Linked DNA regions of Astyanax mexicanus. The protein of the gene in region 1 purifies or fractionates together with the protein of each later gene. This does not show direct contact. Links are inferred from orthologs where the notes say so. Each region holds a gene or a part of one and is shown in the gene's direction. Other genes may lie near its edges.

What was found. Proteins that work in one complex are often made in the same cells at the same time.
Region 2: the proteins of relb (region 1) and nfkbie purify together in Homo sapiens (affinity purification with mass spectrometry; 3 studies listed by BioGRID and IntAct, counting the BioPlex papers as one, with this or other methods). This does not show direct contact. The link is inferred for Astyanax mexicanus from reciprocal best matches to the Homo sapiens genes RELB and NFKBIE.

What each region holds. Positions count from the first base shown.
Region 1 is NC_064425.1:6,567,556-6,578,278, reverse strand, and holds the start of relb (transcription factor RelB), read left to right. Parts: upstream 1-5,334; 5' UTR 5,335-5,634; coding exon 5,635-5,683; intron 5,684-6,737; coding exon 6,738-6,749; intron 6,750-8,703; coding exon 8,704-8,831; intron 8,832-10,723. Other genes in the region: proto-oncogene serine/threonine-protein kinase mos, read right to left, coding at 2,083-3,126.
Region 2 is NC_064408.1:85,857,494-85,868,911, reverse strand, and holds the start of nfkbie (NF-kappa-B inhibitor epsilon), read left to right. Parts: upstream 1-5,992; 5' UTR 5,993-6,381; coding exon 6,382-6,731; intron 6,732-11,137; coding exon 11,138-11,240; intron 11,241-11,418. Other genes in the region: tmem151ba (transmembrane protein 151B), read right to left, coding at 3,341-3,460. UniProt on the Homo sapiens protein: Sequesters NF-kappa-B transcription factor complexes in the cytoplasm, thereby inhibiting their activity. Sequestered complexes include NFKB1-RELA (p50-p65) and NFKB1-REL (p50-c-Rel) complexes.

The sequences.
Region 1 (10,723 bases):
TGTTGATTGATTTGGCATAGAACAGTCCAAAGATGAGAAAAGTTTACACATTCATTACACTGTAGGTAGAAGTATAGATACTAGGGTTTAAAATACTTCTGTAAAAATTGACGTATCAACTTCCTGTCCTTGTAGAAAAGCAGCTCCAAAATAATACTCAAAATACTAAAAAATACCAAAATACTCAAATCCCTCTGACAATTTTTTTTTGCTATTCCAATGTTTGATCTGAACATTAATGTAGGCTCTTGAGCAGTGTCTGTATGTTGACTTGCTGCCACATATCTGACAAGCTACTTTTTATTGAATGAAATTACACACAATACAACATTCACAGTCATTTTACAACTCATTTGACTTATTATATAAAAGATTTCTTGAGTTGGAATAAATGTGCAAAATCACACCAAAAGGTAAGACTATAACCGTACATAATTTTACACTTTTGGGAAAAAAATTAAGGTGTTTTTTATTGCTTGATTTATTTTTTATTTATCTAAATGAAACTACACACAATACACAACTCTAAGTCATTTCCAACTAATTTGAGTTAAAATCTCATTAAATAAAAGAGTTGCAGAAAACCTACAGGTACGCCTATAGCCTTTCGTAATTTGACAATTTTGTGGTGTTTTTTTATTGCCTATGTTAATAAAACTACACACAACACACCACTCCAAGGCATTTTAACTCATTTGAGTTATAAGATAAAAGATTCTAAGAGTTGGAATAAAAGTCCAACATCACACCAAAAAGTAAGACTATACCCTTACATAATTTGACAATATGGGGGTGAAGATAAGTGTTTTTATTGCATATATGAATTAATTAAACACAATACACCACTACCAGGCATTTTCCCAGCCATTTGAGTTATAAGATGAAAGATTTAGGGATAAGTTAAAAGTGTTTATTTATTGACTATCTGAATAAATTGAGAGACAATACAACACTCCCAGTCATTTCAATATCATTCTAATATCATGAAATATAAAAGTTGCAAAAAATGTGCATAATGACAACAAAAGGTAAGACTATAGCTTTACATAATTTGACAATTTTAGAAAATTCAAGTGTTTTTTGTGCCAATCTGAATGAAGTTACCCACAACACACCACACCCAGTCATTTTCCATCTCATTTGAGTTATAATCTTATGAAATATAAGAGTTGAAATAAAATATCCAAAATCACACCAAAAGGTACGATTATAGCCTTATGTAATTTATCAATTTTAGGGAATAATTAAATCTGAATAAATCTATACACAAAATCTATACACCATTCCTACACATTTCTCCAGTCATTTGAATTATAATATAAAACATTAAGAATTGTTTTCTTTTGGTTGATTTATTTGTGTAGGAATTTGTTTTCATTTCTTGTTTTTGGTTTAGTTTTGTTGTTTTTTTTCTTTCATTATTTATATATTTTGCTGGGTGCCTTTGGTTAATAATGGTCATTGTAAATGTCCTGAGCTCAGGTGCTCCAGTCTGAGACCATTTTTACATCCTGTATACACTTAGAAAAAAGGGTTCTATATAGTACCAAAAAAGGGTTATTTGAGTGTTAATGGTTCTATGAAGAACTATTACCTTCACCAAAGAACTTTTGAAGAACCCTTATATATATATATATATATATATATATATATTTATTTATTTATTTATTTATTTATTTTTTAACATTTAAATAACCAAAAAGTGGTTTGTTACTTAAGGGCAACCTACACCATGCCATGGAGGGTATAGATTTCTTAAATGTACATGATTCCTTGTTTTTCTTCATATTCAGGATTACTTCAGTATTATATTTACAATGTAGGGCATAAAAATCATAGAATTAACATAGAATAAGAAGGTGCATCCACATTTTGACTGTTAGATTATATGTATGAATTTCGCATATAACAACAACGCAGGACTCAATCTTAGAGTAATAAAAATAACATTAAAGTTTAATTATAATCTTTGGAAACATATAAAACTGCACATGTATTTACAAACCATATTTAAACATTTCTTCACAGTATTTACAGAGTTAACAGTAAGCAGGAGAGATAATACAGCAGAAGAATGAAAGACTAAAACACTAGAAGGGAGATCTGCTGCAGGTCCGAGTGCAGCTGCTCGGCGCTCGGTCTCAGGTTCGGCTCCGCGCTCCAGCAGCAGCTCACCAGCTCTGCGCACGCGCGCCCCGCGGAGCTCCGGTGGAACACGTCCCGGTCCAGCTGCGGCCGCAGACCGTACGCTACCACGGCGTAGATGACGCACTGCCGCTCGCCACGGTACGGCACATCGCGCGTGAGCAGCTGCCACAGAGTGACCCCAAACGAGTAGACGTCGGCGCGCGCAGTCACACGCTCGCCGCGGAGCAGCTCGGGCGCGCGGTGCGTGTACGTGCCGCCGATCTCAAGGGCGCACGCCGCGTGGTCTCGCCCGAGCTGCAGCGAGCAGCCGAAGTCCGCGAGCTTGCACACGCCCGCGCGCGACACCAAAACGTTGGCGGGTTTTAGGTCCAGGTGCGCCACGCCGTGCGCATGCAGGTGACGGAGCGCGCACACCACGTCGGATGCGTAGCGCACGCACAGCTCGGGGGGCAGCGGCCCCGCCCCGTAGATCACCTGCTGCAGGCTGACGTCTCCCGCGAACTCCATCACGATGGTGCCCACGCGCCCCTGATCATCTTCCTCTTGGTTCTTGTCCCCAGTGCGCGCACAAGCCGTCGCAGTCTTAATTGTAGTCGTCGGCATCATCGTCGTGGCCGCAATCACGCGCACCAGGTTGTCGTGGCGCAGGTGCGCCGCGTTCAGCTCGGCCCAGAAGCTCTGGCGCGAGGCCAGCGTGTTCCTCGCCCGCCGCACGCGCTTTACCGCCACCGTCTCTCCAAAGTACGTGCCTTTGAACACCATGCCGAAGCCCCCGCAGCCAATGGGCTCCAGCTCGTGCAGCTCGCGCCACTGCACCGCCGACGACCAGAGTCTCTGAGCGAGCTTTCCGTGGGTAGCGGTGGGCACACGCAGGGAGGATGATGCACCCGCGCGCCTGCTTAGCGGGCTGCTGAGGGTTCCGAGGTCGAGGCCGAAGCCTCGTGGCAGCAAACGGGTAACGGGGATGGGAGAAGGCATGGCGGGAGAGCAGCAGCGCCTTCTAACATTTTGGATTTGCCTCCTATATGTCACGTGCGTGCTTTTGTAGATGTCACGTGACCGCTAGGGTCAAACTGGGTCAAACTCTGTTTGTTTATTATTATTAAACTAACCTTCAAGTGTCAGTGTAACGTTTATTAATTTAATTTTCTGACAATTGGAGGCTAAATGTAAATTTACAAAAAATGGATGTAAAATCTCCATTATTTATTTTTTTTAAATGTAGTGCAGTGTACAAGAAATAAGTGTTTTCCTTTCCATTTATTTCCAGTCCATTTTTGTTTTTAATCTAAACAATGTGCCATATCACCCGTCTCAAATTGAACACATAGATATTAATCAACATGTATTTTTTTAATTTAAAAAAGAGAAACTTTGATCCTATAATCACCCCTGGTTTGCTTGATTCCAATTCCTTGCTGTAAGGGCATGCTCCATGCCCTTTATAGCATCTTGCCAGAAACAGAAAGTTTATTTGATTTTCTATTAACTATTAATTGATTAACTATTATTATTATTTTTTTATTATTATTAAACAACAAGCCTATGACTTTTATTTTGTAATACAGCCAAGCATTTAGGAAATACAACCTGAGATTGTTTACAAAGATTATCCACCAGAGGGCAGAAAACACGTAGAGATATTATGCTCTGTTTTACTGTTTTTCAGTTATTATTTATTGTAATTAAATGATATTGTTATAATTAATATATTATTTAATGGTTATTTAAGATAATTATGTTTTTTTTTACTATCACGCTGCTGTGACGATAATTTTGATGTCATAAACGTCAAAATTATCATTCAGAATCGCACACTGAAAGTCTCATCCCACCTTAAACATCAACTGTTTGTTTGACCTACTACTCTGTCCATCACACATCATTAAAACACAACCAAAAACCCACACAGACTGTTTTAGTGCTGTCTGCATTCACACACTATAACTTTGAGCTTTATATATTATTATATAATATATTAAAATACCAAGAGTGTGCAGATCTGTCCTCAAAGATAAATGTGCTACTTAGAAGAATCTAAAGTATAAAACATATGTTTTGTTAATTACATTTTGTTTAGTATATTTGTTAAACAATAAGTCTGCATATGTTCCTGTATAGATTTAATGTCTTTATATATATATATATATATATATATATATATATATATATATATATATATATATATATATATATATATAAAGACATTAAATCTATACAGGAACATATGCAGACTTATTGTTTGTATGTATGTATATATATATATACATACATACAGACTTATTGTTGTATGTATGTATATATATATATATATATATATATATATATATATATATATATATATATATATATATATATACATACATACATACACGCAACCGGACAAAAGTTTTTGAATGCCTCTATTGTCTAGTTTTCCAGACAAGATCCTTTGTACTGCATACAAAGGCGTTAAGGTAAAAAAAAAAATCCATTGCTACTTAACAGCATATTCTTTTCTGGACTTTTTTGGATTCATACCTATTAGTTTTTAGAAATGAAAAATCTGGCTTTAATTTACGTTTAATTCAATACAAACCCTTAAATCTATACCTAAAAATATTTTAGTTTCTTTGATTTTATCAAATTGAAAAACCTCTAAAACATATAATCAAGAGGAAGATGGATGATCACAAGCCATCAAACCAATCTGAACTGCTTGAATTTTTGCACCAGGAATGGCTAAATTTACCCAAAAGCAGTGTGTAAGACTGGTGGAGGACGTGCCAAGATGCATGAAAACTGTGATTAAAAAGCAGGGTTATTCGACTAAATATTGAAATATTGAATATTTCTCATTTTCTGCAAATAAACGCTCTAAAGTGGTTTATAAAATAAAACAACAAAGTTAATTTTACTCAAACATAAACCTATAAATAGCAAAATCAGACAAACTGATTCAGAAACTGAAGTGCTCTCTTAATTTTATCCAGAGCTGTGTTAAGGGCCCGCCCATATATATATATATCCCTTACAGTCCCTGATAATATCATTTAATCTTTAAAAAGTGTGACCCCACAAACAGTTCATTAGAAGGTGCTTTCCTCACGAAACTCTTATTTGTCTACCATGTTTCAGCGCAGCCATTTAGGGGCATGTTTCCATCTCTCGTTTTCTTGTTTTGATCCTCGGGCCCTTCGTGCTGCAGCTCACCTGTTACCGCGCGCTCTTACTGCGCCGACTCGCGGGGGGGTTTCCCAGCAGTGACGTAGGGGGATTTCCACCCGGTCAGCTCGGGCTAGAAGAGGCACAAAGTGAAACGAATTTGGTAGAAAACGTGAGTTATTTTGATACACGGGCAGAAGCAGAAGTACAGCAGCGCTGCAGAGACTCAGAGCCGCAGTCACCGACCTTTAGTACAGCTCCAATGAGTACATAACCCAGCTAACCGGACCTCAGCCCAGTACCAGACTAACCCTGTTTTACCAGCCTAGTCCTTCACCTGCCATGAGAAATATGAACGGACCAGCTCGCAACGGTACCCTAGGCACTGGCGGTAAGTGACAGCGAGCTAAAACATCTATAAACGTGTCGATAAAAGTCTGTAAAAGGTCTGTAAACGCTTGTTTACTCTGTGCGCGCGCTAAGGCTAGCTGTGCGCATGTAGGTTGGGAAAGACACGTTTTGTAAGAAGTAAAGTTAGCCATGGAGGTTTTATGTCATATTTTTTTCCTAAATTATACAAACCATAATAATATAGTTGTACGTTTTTGGTAGATTTTATGTAGAAAAAATATGTATTTATAAATGTATCTATTTGTGAATTTAAGCATTTTCATAAATATATCAATTCATTTACAGCACTATCCGGCTGTCTACAGTGTGTTTATTGGTATTAAAAAGCGTAAATTAATAATAATAATAATAATAATAATAATAATAATAAACGATGAATGTTAGTATTTATGTCGTTTTGACATAGGCGTGAAATCCAAGTCCAAAGATTAGCTATAAATCCATTCCAGGATTTTGTTCCAACCGCCTAAGAAAGCGTGGCTCCTGGGCGCTGCAGCGCAGCTTTCTTTGGCAGTTAAGACAAAATCCTGGAATGGATTTCTAGCTAATCTCTGGACCTGGATTCTGGGGCGGATTTTACTTTTCTGGTCCCGGATTCACTACTATTAGTTTTAAAAGTGAAAAATCTGGCTTTAAAAAACAAACCCTTAAATAATCAGATATAAATTAGTCTCTAATTAGGTGTATAATGTTTATTTTTATTGTTATTATTATTATAATGTGCTTATTATTAGCTAGAATAGGTAACCGAGCTAACTATGCCTAGTCATGGTGCTCCGTCTTTTCTCTATACTAGTTCCTACTATTGACGTTACACAGCATTGCGTGATCTAGAAGAGGCAAATCAGCTCAATTCAATCAATTCACATGCTGTATATGCTTTATTCTACCTCATCTGGGACTGGTGCGGTTTATTGTGTAGGAATAGAATGGTGTTGTTGTCTGTTAGCCCGCAGGGCTGTTAAGACTTTCAGTTTCACTTTCCTTGTCTGTTAGTCTGTGGATTTAACTGGTGCTGTTTTTCTCCTCCACAGCTCTCGACCTTGGTAAGTGGACCATTTTTATCATATCATTTTACATTTAATATTATACAGTATACCAGCCTCTATTATTTTGAATGTATTAATAAACGAAATTGAATAATAATAATAATAATAATAATAATAACAACTTCTCACACAACTCTTTCTGTACCTGCACTTTACTCTATTCATCTAGTTCATCTATTGGACCATTTCCTCACTTCCACACACGCACTATAGATATCTGCATTTTTCAGTCATATTTTTTAGTCATATTTAACATATTTCCGTGCAGTACCATATGTCTGTATGTCTATAGTCTGTAAGTTATTGTGTGTATTGTGTATATTATGTATACTGTAAAGTTAACTATATATTTCTATTTTAACTTATTATTGTACTTTGTTGTAAACATTGTTCTCTACATACTAGTGGGAACCTGCACCCAAGTCTTTCACTCACATGTACACCTGTACTTTGTGATGTGTAAAAAATACAATTTATTGAATCTTGAACCTAATAATAATAATAATAATAAAAATAACAAGAATGTAAGGCCTAGGCTAGTTAAATAAGAGCAAATTCTTATTTGTAAAAAAAAAACATTTGTGTAATAGAGGCAGATCAGTTCACATGAGTAAACAAATTAATACATTTAAAACAATAAAGCGCATTATATTAAATCGGTAAAGTGCATAGTGGCATACACTCTCAGAAGCTCACATTAATTCAGACTTCCCACAATAAACATAAAAGAGCAAATTAAAATAAATAATTATATAAAAAAATACCATCTCGACACACTATACAACATTCAGGAACTCCGCCCACATTGCTTTTAACCCCCACCATATCTACTAACATAACCCACACATCAAGCCCACAAAACTTACTTCATCATAAACACTCAACACAAAATATATACAATTACCATGACATGTATTTTAACATTTATTTTCTCTTTAATACCATAAAATGAATTAAACTAGAAATCACACTAACACATTCATTTTATAAAGTGATTTTTCCTTACATTTTAATTGAATACTAAAGTGTATTAAATTCCAGACTATGAAGGAACACATACGAAATCATGTAGTAACTTAAAAGTGTTGAACAAAAATACTAGGTGGTCTTTTATCCGGGGTGCTGTTAATCTGCGGTTTCCGATGATGAACTTATCATTGTGACTGCACTTGAGAGTACTTTCTTTCTTTCTTGACATTTTTCAAATTGACTGACCTTCATTTCTTAAAGTACCTGTAATTTTTGCATTACTTAGTTGAGTCTTTCACATCATAATATGGATTAGAACATTTACAAGTTCACTTAGGTGTATCGTTAATACGTACAGTTTTAATAATAAGAAAATAACAATTTAATTGCACAATTTAACATGATTAATCATGATTAATCACATTTTTAATAAATATTTTAATAATGGATATTTAAATGTAAAATAAAATAATACACATAAAAATGGAAACATGTAGCCATATGAAAATATACCATTAGGGATGTATCAGTGTGGAAATTTTGGACCAATAATGATATCCAATATAACACATGTACATAAGTGGTGATACCAATATACACATTCATAACAATACAAAGAGTTTAATTTTATCATTTAAAACTAGTAGAAAAATAAACAAATAAATAAGTACATCTTAAAATAGCATGGTCAGTGTTGGGCAGTTGTAGTATAGCATCCAGAATTGCTTGCATACAATAAACACATCAGCAAGTATTGGTTTTAAATATTGGCCTTAAATTATTCAATGATTTAAAAAAATGCAATTATCATCCAATTCCAATATAATTTTGAAATCAATGTGCAACCCTATATGTCATATGTGACTTTTTTTCATAATGCAAGATGCATTTATCCCTGTGTAAGGGCCATGCTGCATCATTACCTAAAACTAATTTGGTTGTTGTTATCATTCTTGTTGTTTTTGCTGTCATCTCTTATCAGATGAAATAAACGAGTTCATTGTTGAGAGCGGATTTAAACTCCCTGGACCTCCTCCTCCTCCTTCTCTTACTCCTACAGAAATAAGTAATGGGCCAGTGCTCGTCTCTAGATGCACAGACTCCCCACAGGTCAGTATCAGGCCAGAGCTGCTTTTTGAGTTTATGCCATTCTAGTTAGTCAAATCGATAATTTTACACTATTTCGTTTAGCATTGTCCTGTGTTAGCATTGTTAGCGATTCCAATGTGCTAACAAAACATTATGCAGTATTTTGCTTGTTCAAACTACTACACACATATCCACAGATAAAAGTTGGACAGTAAAGTGTGAATGATAAATTTAAAGGGAGACAAATAAATAGAAGTGCTATTAAACAGAATATTAATGCTGCTTTACTACTACTGCTGGCCATATTAAATTTGAATATTGATTATTGGCGAGGCTCTCTTTCTGGCTGACTTTCTAAGTGGGAATTTCAAGCTGTGGGAGCCTTACAGTTCACATTTTCCACTTGGAACTAAAACATTTTGACGTTTGAACGGAATGTAGTATCCGTTTGATTCACAGTAATATTGAAAATATGCTGATGTAAGATTTGGCCTTGAATCAAAATGGAAATGTAAAAACTGTAGAAAAAAGTATGTGGCCAAAGGCAGATGTCAGTCGATTGTATATAACTTGGACCAGCTCATAAAATGCCACCTATTTTCATGGATTTTGTGTTTAGCAATCCTAATTTTACCATCACTGATTAAATAAATTAAGGCACAAGCTATTTTCACCCAGGTGTATGTAGTAGCAGTGTGTACTATCACAAAAATATTTCTATGGAAGTCAATGTAAAAAGAGTTTGTTCCAGGTTTTGTCATGCCTTTTGGTCCATTAATCATGACGTTTTGGCACAATTTAAATAACTGCTGCCCAATTCAAATCATGTAAAAATGAAAGACAACAAACATTTAGATACAAGGTGATGGTGACAATATTGGAAATTTACATTTTTAATACTGGATTTTATTTTTGCAATTTAGCAACTAGAACCTCTCTTTTACTTATTTACACCTAAATATTAGATGTATTTGAATGCATTCCGCATCCTAAAATCTTATTAGTGCTTATTTACCTATATACTTATTTAAGTGCTTATTTACCTAATTTACTCCTAAGATTAAGTCATTAAGGTAATCTGCACTGTAAAGTTTTAAGTTAAGGGGTGAAATGATATGTGCCCAAGTGCAAATAATCACTCCAGTAGAGGCGATTAAATAGCTTAAATTTATTTTGTCTTCCTTTCATGTAAAAAAAGATTTTATGAAACTACAGTTTGAAAAAAGTATCTTTTTTATATCCCAGTAGACAAACCATCCACACCCACACATTTTCCTAAGTAGAACTATTTAATAATGTTTTAATCCAGTCTTAAATGTACCTCTGCAGTGCTACTGAAGTTACATGGGAAGTTACATGTTACATGTACATTTACACTGAAAATTGTCATAAATCATAAAGTTTGGTCTGTAATTTAAAATGTAGAGCGACGCAGAGATGCAGACGTACGCACGCAGAAGTATAAACGCTCCCAGCTGCGTAGGGTGCTCGCACAAGCTACACCATATGGGCAATGCTTTGATTAGATGCAGAAGTATTAACCAGCCTTAACACTTTGAAAAAAATATTTTAATTAATTCAATGTAATTAGAATGTAATTTGTATTGTGTAATTAAAATGACTTTAATTATCATGATGCTATGTAATATTGTTATTTATTATCCAACCCTGGATCCAAACCCAGTTTTGTAGTGGTAAATTCTTTTAAATAATGATACCATGTCACAAATTCACATATTAATCTATAATGGACAATATAGATATCACAAAATAATAATTAACAAACCCTTTTCTAATGTTTATACATATTTACTGTGTAATTAGGAGTGTAACCCCCTTTTTCTCCTATTTGGGTAGTATTCATGTTTTTTTCTAAACACTGCAGCGTCGTCACTCTGTGTTTGTTTTTGCTA
Region 2 (11,418 bases), on another chromosome or scaffold:
AAATTATACTAGGCATATAAAATGAGACTGCCTTGTAGATATATCCTGGTAAATGAGAATAATCTGAATTGTATTGTGACTGTATTATGCAACTTTTTCCCCAAAAATGTACAAAAATTCAGAAACAATATCTTCTTGTTGTGCAGCCCTAATGCATAATTTTCCATCTGACTTTAAAAAAGGGCTGGTAAAATATATATGATATTTAAAAACATTTTTAAAATACACAATATGTATTATCACATTTTGAAACAGAATGCATTAGTAGCAGGAGATAGTTAAAAGCACTAATCAAATCCTACACTTATGTAATCCTACACTTATGTAATTTTTTATTAATAATGTACAGTAAAGTACATAAGTACGTAATTACATTTAACCCATGACAAAATATATCATGATATGATTAAATATATATATATATATATATAAAATATATATAAAAACCCTTCTTTTAAAGTGTTTTTTTTTCCAGAACCACATCATAGTGTACCTTCAAATGAAACATAGTATTAGTGAGGGTCTTTAAGCTAGCTGAGATTTTCTCCATTACAGATGGGGCTTGCCCTCATCCCCCACTTCCTCGGTTGTCACGGTTACCTCTTTGACTGCTTTGATTTGAAGGAACTGATTATCATTTTATGGCGCTTGATTTTCTTACTTCTTAGGGGTGACTGTACCCTTTGCTGCTGTAAGAGAGAATACACTTTAAAAAAGCATGGTCCTAAATGTTTTTGGTATTTGCCTCATCTTTTGAGGTATCCCTTTAAACTGCCAAAAAAATGGTCCCAGTTTAATCTCCATCTATTCTCAATTTCTTTGTAGTGAAAAATGTGCAAATATTCAGTAGACAGATAAGGTTTATGAATACAATCCAGCTGTTTAAAGGTCAGACACATTAGGCAAATAAGTATCATCATGTTTGTTAAATGGGAGCATCCTGTTTTTGTCAGTGATGATCAGTGTTTAGTTTCAGTCTTCAATCTGCATTTCTCTTATTGATGCAACAGAATGGGTAGCATAATAATAAATATCCCTCTGCCTCCCCCTTATTCTGGAGTGCTTGCCCCACACCATTACCCCATCAACAGTCTGTGCTGTGGACACAAGGCAGGAGGGATCCAAGGATTCATGCTGTGTCTGCCAAGATCTGACCTGCCATCTGCCTGTGGCAGCAGAAATCAACACACATCAGACTGAGCAGCAATTCTCCAATTTTCCGTCATCTAGTTTTTCATGATTAACTGCATCCTGTAGTCTTTCTGATCTCAGCATGAATGAGACCACCATGGTCTTCCATTGCTGAAGACCATCTGCTTCATGATTTAACACTGCATGGAGATGTGCCCTTCAGTTCACCACTTTTGTGTAATGCCTACTTGGGTATTCATGGCCTTTGGTAAATTTTTCCTCTAACCTGTCTCATTAACCGAATGCTTCTGCTTGCAGATCTGCCACTCACTGGATGTTTTTTTTGTTTATCACATCACTGTGGGTGAACTCCAGACTGTCCCTAGAGAGAGCTGTTTCTGGAGCCAAATCTTGCCATGCTTGTCCATTCTTATGTTTGGTACAGCAGCATTTAAGCAATCTCAGCCCAATATCTCCTTTGCTAAAAAACACTAAAGGCTCTCCCTTTTGAATGGGAATCTCTAACCACATGATCTCTAATGGCCCTGTGAATGTGGTTTATGATACTGAGTGACTCACAGCTATCTATCTATAAACATGGATTCAAGCCCAAAATCTTGTTGATACAAACTTCAGACATCAGACACATCTTGGGTGATCCAATATATAAATGTATGATTTATGTAAGAGAAAATTTGTGCAAATTAGTTGTAAGCTATTGCTGTATGGAGAAAGAGTATATATATATATATATATATATATATATATATATATATATATATATATATATATATATATATACGTATATATATATATATATATATATATATATATATATATATATATATATATATATATATATATATATATATATAATGCTAAGCTCCTTTACTCACTAAGCTGATAGGAACATTATAACTGTATAGTTACTGGACAGAATGGATTCCACAAGATGTTGGAAACATTCTTCTAAGATTCCTCATTCCTCTAAGAGTCAAGGTTGATGTGAGTGTGTCATTCAGTTCCTGGAGAGTATCCCATCCTTTCACATACAAACTGTTCATTGTCATGTTCATAAACCAAGTTTGAAAGCTTTGTGACATGATCTTATTATCATCCTGGAATTGGCTAAAAGGAGATGGGTAAGTTGTGGTCATGTAGGGATGCACCTGGTCAGCAACAAGAAGTTGTTCTGTTCTGCTGAGCCAATGTCCACTGCAGCCTCAGCTTTCTGTTCTTGGCTTACAGATGAGAGCAATTTAGTGTGCTCTTCTGCTGTTGTAGACCACCCACCTAGTAGTTATATGAATTATGGTAGCTTTTCTTTCAACTAAAATCAGGCTGGTCTTTCTCTTTTGGCTACTTTCTGTCTTATCAAAAATGTCTTTCTGTATGCAGGACTGCTGCTCACTGGATTTTCTGGATGTTTATTCTTTATTTCACCACTCTGAGTGAATTCTTCATATCAGCAGTTCCAGAAATACTTAAACCAACCTCCCAGGCAACAATCAGGGCACTCTCAAAATGAGTGAGATCAATGAAATTGGATTTTTTTTCCCTCATTCTGATGGTTGATGTGAACATTACTTAAAGCTGCTGGTCAATAACTAGATGAATTCGACCTGCTGAAACTATAGATTGGCTGGTGTCCTAATAAAATGCTCAGTGAGTGTGCATGAAGTATACATTCCCTAACTGTGATTGAATGGATTTATAATGCATTTGATAACTAATAAGTGTAAAAACAAATAATAATTCTCCTGCACATCCTTTTGTACAGTCTAGTTCTCATCATGCATGCAGGCTTTCCACTAGAACTGGAACAGACTGATAGCAGTGCTTTAAACGTGGCAGGGCTGCTTCTCTTTGTTTATAGAGGGGGTGATGTGCTGAGATCAGTCACCTGTCCTCCTGTGCTTTGTTCAGTCATAATTAATCAGACGTGATTATGAGATGAGATGATCCACGCCAGCTTTTTTTTTCAATACGCCAGCTTTTTTTCCCTGGCACGTAGTGATGAAACAGAAGGGTATGCACATAAATAATAATCATGAATGGCATGATTTAAAAAAAAAGTAATGCAAACACAAACGCATGCGACAAAATATATGGGAAAAAGCACAGCACTGCTATCAGGGAAGGCAATGCATTATACATGTATATACCAGTACAGTAAGACTTTCTCTGTCTCTCTTTGTGTGTGTCTTACCTCCTCGCGGGGACTCTCCGGTTCGTCTCCCGAAGCTGGAGCTGCGGCTGGGCTGCTAGCGGTGGTCGTAGCTGTAGCCGTAGCCGTGGTCGTGGCCGGGGCGGCCGATGCTGGTGACATGTCTGTGCGGGCAGGGGGCCATGCATCATCCACAGAGCTCGCACGAGGGGACGGTCAGCGCAGCAGCAGCAGCACCAGTAGCCCACCGCTTACTGACACACAGAAAAACAGCTCAGAAAACGCTGCCATGTGCTTTCAGAGCAGAACAGCTGCACGCGCTGCATGTGTGAACGCCATCCTACAGCAGCACCTCATCCTCCTTCAGGACTGAACTGAACTGATCAAAAGAAGGAGCATCGCAGCCTGGGGCCCTCCTGCACCTTCTGCAGCTCCTGCAGCTCCTGCACCACAGCGCTCAGCTCCAGCGAGCAGGAGGTGTAGCCTGGTGTGAGAGCGGCAGCGCGCCGATTAATAACGATCAGTGAAAAAACACACAGCGCGGAGCTGCACGTGCGCGCGCGCCCGCTCCGCCACGACGCTGAATGGGAATGATGAGAGGAGGGGGAGGAGCTCGAGCGGAGCACAGACATAAAGGTGTGCTCAAAAGGCGACTCCAGCAGCATCTTAAAAGTGTCAGTCCACTAGTTTTTAATTAACGTTAGAATGTGTAACAACACCCATCATGCTAAAACTTCCTTGCAATACATGCATTGTGACACAGTCTTCTTTTTTACTCTTTTAAATCGTTAGCTGTCTTCAGTTTTAATTCTGCGTTTCTTTTGTTTAATGCAATGCGTTGTGGTTGGTGTGGCGCAGTGGATAACACCAGCCCCAGTCAGTGAGCTACCACATCATGTGGTAGACTAGGATTCAATTCAATCTAGGTGACTATGTTGTGCTACACCAATAAGAGTCCTTGGTGCAGACTCCTAACATTGACCAGCCTTTGTAATAGAAATAACCTTGTCACTCTGGATAAGAGTGTCAGCTAAATGCCTCACATGTAAATGAAAAAGCAGGTGTAGACTGAGTTTGCTGTTCTGATATCTCCATGTTCACTGTAGCTATTGTATCAGCACCATTAGCAGTACCATGGTTGCTCAGGTAAACAGCAAAAGCTGTTAGGCCTATTCACCTTATTCGTCCACCTTATGCACTCTGCACTTATGCACACCTTATGCATACTGATCATAAAATATCAGTATTTAACCATATTTACAGCTATTTACTGCACAGCTAACCAGCTTTCACACACAACACACGCAAAGAGGGGAGTGCTTATATTCACTGCCTTCCAGAGAAGAGGTGCTGTGCCATCAACTGTAGACCCAGATCCTCTTCTGTGGAAGGAGGTGGTCATTTTTCTGTGGTGTATTCAAAACTGTGCTGTTAAAGTTAATTCCTCCTCTTCTTTCAGTTACTGTGACACCCTATAACTAACTGCACCAGACATTCCAAAACAAAGTAACCAAACCTGGCCCTCCCTGTCATCATGCAGAATAAGTGGCTAGCCAGAAAAAAAGTACTTAGTACTTGTATTTAGAATATATTTTTTGTCTTTTATATAATATATATTACTATATAATTTGCCCTCTGCCCACTCAGGAAGACAACCAAAAAATATTTTTTGTCCTAAAAACGCCATGCAAAAAGACATTAACTTATTAATCTGAAAGATGTCTAAAGACATTTTAAAATAATTCTAGGATATATTAAGAGGACGTTCTAAGGGCTTTCTATCATCAATCTAAGAGTGTTCTAAAGTGCAGTAAAGTATAGTGTTAAGTAGTTTTAAAGAGATTTTAATAAAATAATGTAAGAATTTTTTTTTTCTAAAAGCTTTTCAATGACATTCTAATATAATTCTAAAAGTGTTCTAAAGACAAAAGCATTCGTATGAAATGTTTCATATAACATTTTAGAGTTATGGTGTATGTAAAACTGTAATAAAGCTTCAGTAGTGAATTGAAATATTTTGGCCACATATATTTTGCAGCTTCTTAGGAGCTCCCCCTGCTGGAAACACAGAGACCTGCTCCCAGACTGTTGAGTGTGCCACAGCAACGCAGAAGTGTGATTTTCCTCATCTTACCATTTTGCAAACTTTAGCTTTAAGGCTGCCTCAGTGAGATTGGGGTGGTCACCCACTATGCTTCACCACATCCTCTGAAGGACACTCATGACCCTGGCATGGCTCAAACACCAAACCTTGTGATTAGGAGTCACTTGCATGCACTATAGGCTACTATTGCGCCATACATTAATATATTTGTTCATATAGCTTAAGTAGTTCACTGTTTAGCCTCATGTTTAGCCTCATTTAGACTACACTGCAAAATAAAGCTACGTTTATATAGTTTTGATACATGCATTTATACATTTCCCTCCTTTTTTTAGCATTTTTTTTGCAACTCTTGTCTATCCTGATGAGACTAGAGTGCAAAATGGAGCTAACTTTGTCCCAGAAGTTACAGCCGTGGTGTGTGTGTGTGTTATTAGAACTGGGGAATTCCCAACTGCACACAAACATTCGTCTCAGGCCACGCCTATTCGCTTGCCCACACACCGCACACTTTAGTAACAACATGTCTATTTATGAACATTAGCTCCGCCTGTCGTCTGTCTGGCCACGCCCATTGGCGAATAACCCTGCCCCCGGCCCCGGTTCTCTCTCTCTCTCTGGTGAGACAGTTTTAGGAGGCACTAGTTCACAGTTTTAACGGCGGTTTAAACTGGTCTGTTGGAGGAGTCTCTCCGATCAGACGGGTGTTTTAAGGCAGTAAGTTAAGGTAGTTAAAGTGTTTAGGCGGAGGTGTTAGTGCCTCCAGGCGGTAGCGGGGGTTTAGTTTGTGTAAGTTAGGCCGTAGTTCTGCGTTGGAAGAGAATAGAGAAGCTGGAGGAGCTGCAGAAGGAGGAGGAGGGCATGAGACACGACGACGGGCTGCTCTGGTTTCACAATGGCGCGGCGGTGATGTTGTTCAGGTGAAGCGCGGATCCTCAGCTTGCGAGTCCGGACACAACCAGCGCTTATTTCGGGTACTATGGAGCCGAGCGGCCGGGCGAAGGGCAAGTTTGAGTCTGAGGAGAATCGGACTGACTCCGTAATCGACTCCGGTATCGACTCGTTCAGATCTTTACCCAGAGACGAGCCGCGGTTGAGCGGCGCGGCCGGGAGCTCCGCGCCCGGGGAGCAGGACAAGCTGAGCGGGGGGGACGAGCGGCTGGACTCGGCCTACGGGTCCTCCTCCATCGTGGACAATCTGAGCGAAATCATCCCCGATAAATGCAGCATTTCAGGAACGCCGAGCTCCCAGAACACAGAGGAAAACACAGAGGACGAGGATGAGGAGGAAGAAAACCTCCTAACTACTGTCACAGAAGACGGAGACACGTAGGTTTTAATCTTTAAATCTTTAGACCTTTTACTCCCCTACCTCCAGCAGTGATCATTATCATCATAATGATAGATAACAACACTGTCTGGAGGGATTCAGATCACCCTGTCACTGGGGCTGGGTTATTTGACAGCAGTTTAACATCACGATACTTAAGCTTTTAATAAGAAGATATCAATAATTTTATTAATTATATTCAGTATTCAATACACTGATTTCAATACAGACAAATTTAATATTCAAAATACATGTTCGTAAAACCATACGAGAGTTAATTTATTAATTGGATCACTTAAGAAGTAGGCCAATGTTTTTTTGTCACCTCTTTGTTTGGCTCTGTTTATCTTTATTTAGCTCTGAAAAAAATAAGAGGCCACTTAAGAGGAAGATGGATTGTCACAACCCATCAAACCAAGCTCAACAGCTTGAATTTTTTCACCAGGAGTGGCATAAAGTTAGCCAAAAGCAGTGTGTAAGGCTGGTGGAGAAGAACATGACAAGATGTATGAAAACTGATTAAAACCAGGGTTGTTCCACCAAATATTGATTTCTGAACTCCTAAAACTTGAATATGAGCTTGTTTTCTTTACATTATTTGAGGTCTGAAAGCTCTGCATCAGAACAAAAATGTTCATTTTACTCAAACATATACCTATAAATAGCACAATCAAAGAAACTGATTCAGAAACTGAAATGGCTCTTGTTTTTTCCAGAGCTATATATATATATATATATATATATATATTATTGTAAAGGGGTAGAGATGGTATATAGTGAATAGTCCTATTTAAATACTGAACTACAGAACTACACAATTAAGTAAGAAAAAATATATATAATTAAGGTCAGTCATTACAAAAAAATTCAAGAACTTTGAAAGATTCCTCACACTATGATGAAACTGGCTCTTTCTGTTACCTCTGTTGCACAGAACAAGTTCATTAGAGTTGCAGTAAGCACTACTTAAGGAAAAACACTTGTCCAAATAAGATTTAACTTTTAAGAATACTGAAAGAAGAGAACTACAGTAAAACAGTCCTGTAGCTAAACCAAGGCATAAGGCAGATATTAAGAAGCCAGAATCCAGCCTCAGTGGGAGATAAAGTGCCAAATTAAACACGTTTTCAATATAAAGCATCAGTGAAACAGTTATCCCCCACGTTATTGTATATTTAGAGGTTGCATGTACTGTGTTATCTCGTGTAGGCTCATCCTGACTTGGCACAAACCTCCCAACAACAGGGCGTTAGAAGTGCACATGGAAAGTAGTGCCTTCTTGTGTGGGTTTATTTTTGTTTAACTGTGTCTGTGGCTAAAATTAGCCCTTACACCAAAAGTGTTTCTTATGTTAACTGTTAAAAACCTGTGTGTGTGAGAGAGGGAACATATAAAATAGTCTTATTTATTTGTGTGTATAAAAGATACATTTCAGTTTCTGCAAAGATGGAGCTAGAGGGGGCTGATTTTTGTGAAGATGAATGGGTTTGGTTTAACATTACCGATTTCATCCGCATAGCTTTACAGTCTGGAGAAATATCTTTGATGATTCACTGTCATGTGTGTGATTAACTGGTTCACAGTGAATGTGTTTTCTGATAGAAAGCTGCAGGCAGTCACACAGGCCTAGAAACTGGATCTATTATCGCTGCTGCATCTGTGTGAGAAAGCAGAAGTACGCACAGTGGAATTCCCCAGCGCTGGGCTGGAAACGCGTTTTCATACCACCCTTTGTAAAAAAAAAAAAAAAAGAGATTTTGTTGAGGGCACACACACACATTTTACTTTTACAGAACACACACATGATAAACATTATTAATCAACATACAAAATACATAATTAGCTTCTCTGTAAATGTTTATTTCAGTGTGCTAAACCTTAAATTATTAATTTATATGATTATTATTATATATGATAAACACAACACAAACTCTACAGAATGCATTAGCTCTGATCACTCCACTTATCACTGTAGCCTTTAGTACGTTCACAGCATTTTTCTCTGTATTTAACATACCTTATCGGATGTTTAGTGTGACCTGTGTGAATGAGGTTGAGTATGAATGTGATAGTCTGTGTGTGTGTGTGTGTGTGGCCAGTATGACCTGTTTTTATTTCCGCTGTCTCTGTTTCTGGGCCAAGAGGAAACTTTTTCTACTTCACTCCCCCTGTAGTCATCATCAGCACTGAAACTCAGTTAAATCCCCCTGTCATTCCATATGGGTGAAACATTTGCTTACTTCAGGAGCTGAATTTCATTTTAGGACTTTAACAAAGTTCTTCTAGAAACTCCCATTTGTCACCTTTTTTCCCTGTGTACACGGTGTATATACATTGTGAAGTTGGTTGATTTGGCATATGTCCCCTGCAACTCTTAACCCAAAGCCATTTCCTTGTATGTTACTGTAACAGTGATGCAGGTCTTTACTCGTTAGGAATACAGATAAGTTTTCCCTGTTAGCATAAACACCAGGTTTAAACACGTTTGCATGCCTTGTACAGGGATAAATGATCCAGTGTAATATTTTGCTAATAGTAATGCATTACTATGTAGGCAAAATTACTTTTATTATTACTTGTATTATCACTTTTATTTATTATCACTTTCCCTGTATTAATAAATATGTTTATTGTTGTTGTCATGCAAAGGTTTTTTCTTTTTATGTAAATTGATTATTTTATTATTATTTTTGGTTGCCATGTGTTTTCGCTCCAGTACTGTTACTGCGTAAGTTGTGGTGACCCAGCTGTAAAGACCCAAATGGAGGAAACACTACTTTTAGACATGTCTAAGCATAGCTGTTTCTTGCTGTAAAGAGAGGCTGCATACACAGTCAGTTGGGTCATCAGGTACATTAAATTTTGTGATTTTACTGTTTTCAGTGGCTGTTTTTGTTTAAACGTCTGCAGATTGCTAAGTTATCTCCTCAGCTGAACAGATCTAAACATCCAAAATACCCATAATTTCAGCTGTTAGTGTAAGCCAAGCCAGTCTTCTAATTCCTTAGTTGGGTCCAAGCTAAATGTAGCCCAATGCATGTGATATGCTGACAGGTTGTTAGTAAAATAAAATATGTTACAGCAAACCATTCAAGTGCATTCCCTCTATTTATTGGTAAAAGCTGTCTGGGACAGGAGCAAAAAAGTAAATACAAGAAGAAGGTCCTGTGTTTTGAACTATTGCATATTTTAATGCAAAGCAGCATGCAACAACAGCAGAGATGCCATTTGTTAATAGTTGTAGTAATTATATGCCTGTTATCGCAGGTTTATTAATTATATGGGTGATATATCAGGTTAAACTCTTCTTAAACAGCCATTAATCTCAAACATGTGGGGTACATCAGATCCTTGGAGTTGGTTGAATTGCATTGTGATCACAAATGTACCATTTCATGGTTTGTTTGCCATTGAAGTGCATGTGTGAAACACTTCAAGTTATTGTACTATCTGTCAAGTAAAGACATTTGATGCTGATAAATAAAATTTTTACTGTTCCGGACCTGGTTAGGATGCCCCAAGTGGTTAAAAATTCAGTTCTTCTGCGTTGAGTCGTTGATGATGAAATAAAATGTATTTTCATCTAACACATAGCAGTGGGTGTTGACCTTCCAAATGTTAACTTATACTCATAATTACTTATAATCATAGTTAACTTATAACTCATAATATTAATTAGTGGGAAATACAGTTAAGGATATTCATACATTTTTACATTCATAATCCTGACAATAACTTTGTTTATTTGGAAGTGTTCAACCATATACATAAGAATCAGAGTTACATAGAATGTCTATATAATTTCTTTTAGTTTTTCCATGTGCTCCTCAAAACCTCATAGCCGAGGAGGTGTAGATTAAACATCTAGCTTAAAACTTCTTAACTGGAAACATGTTGTGTTCACAGCCATTTAAGTAAGCTTGTCAGTTAAAAGCCAGTTGGGAGACTATTGTTAAGGAAGCCATGTTCTTGTTGTGTACTATTTCCTGTAGTCTGTGTCATTGTGTGGGCTTCCTACTTTGAATAGGCCTCATTGATTCAGGTGTTTTCACACGTATTTCTCTTGAAATATAATAGGAGTGCACTTGCTTAAACCATCTCTATTTTAATGTCTGGTTTTCCAAGAATCAAATGAGTTTGTGATTGGGCTGACAGTCTTGGTTTGACTGCTATCTGTACAGAAGTTCCAGCATTGCGCAACGTTCAAGCTTTGTGGCCTACTACCACACTCATACTGCAGCAGGGTGTGAAACATTTCTTAGTATCATTTATTTACATCATATTTTTTCCATCAGTGCTTATGAAATACTTTCCTTTGTTTGTCTTCCCCCACAGAGTTAACTGTGAAACAGTCATGAAGCTGTTTAATGAAAAGTATTTTAATTGTGTTTCTTCCCCTGTCCAGAATTGTCCACTTGGTCATTATCCATGAATACAAACCAGCTGCCTACGACCTGATAAGCATATTGCCAAAAGAGGTCCTGGACATTCAAAATAACTTGTATCAGGTAAATACCAGCGGCATCTTTCATGTTGAGTGTCATTGCTTCTTCTAGGGAACATTCATGTCATCCAAAAATGAGAAATATCATGCACAAGTTTTTAAATATTAGTTGTTGGGACTTAAATATATTTTTTTTCCCTATAGGGTTCACATTTGATATTTGCAGTTAATGTAACAAAACA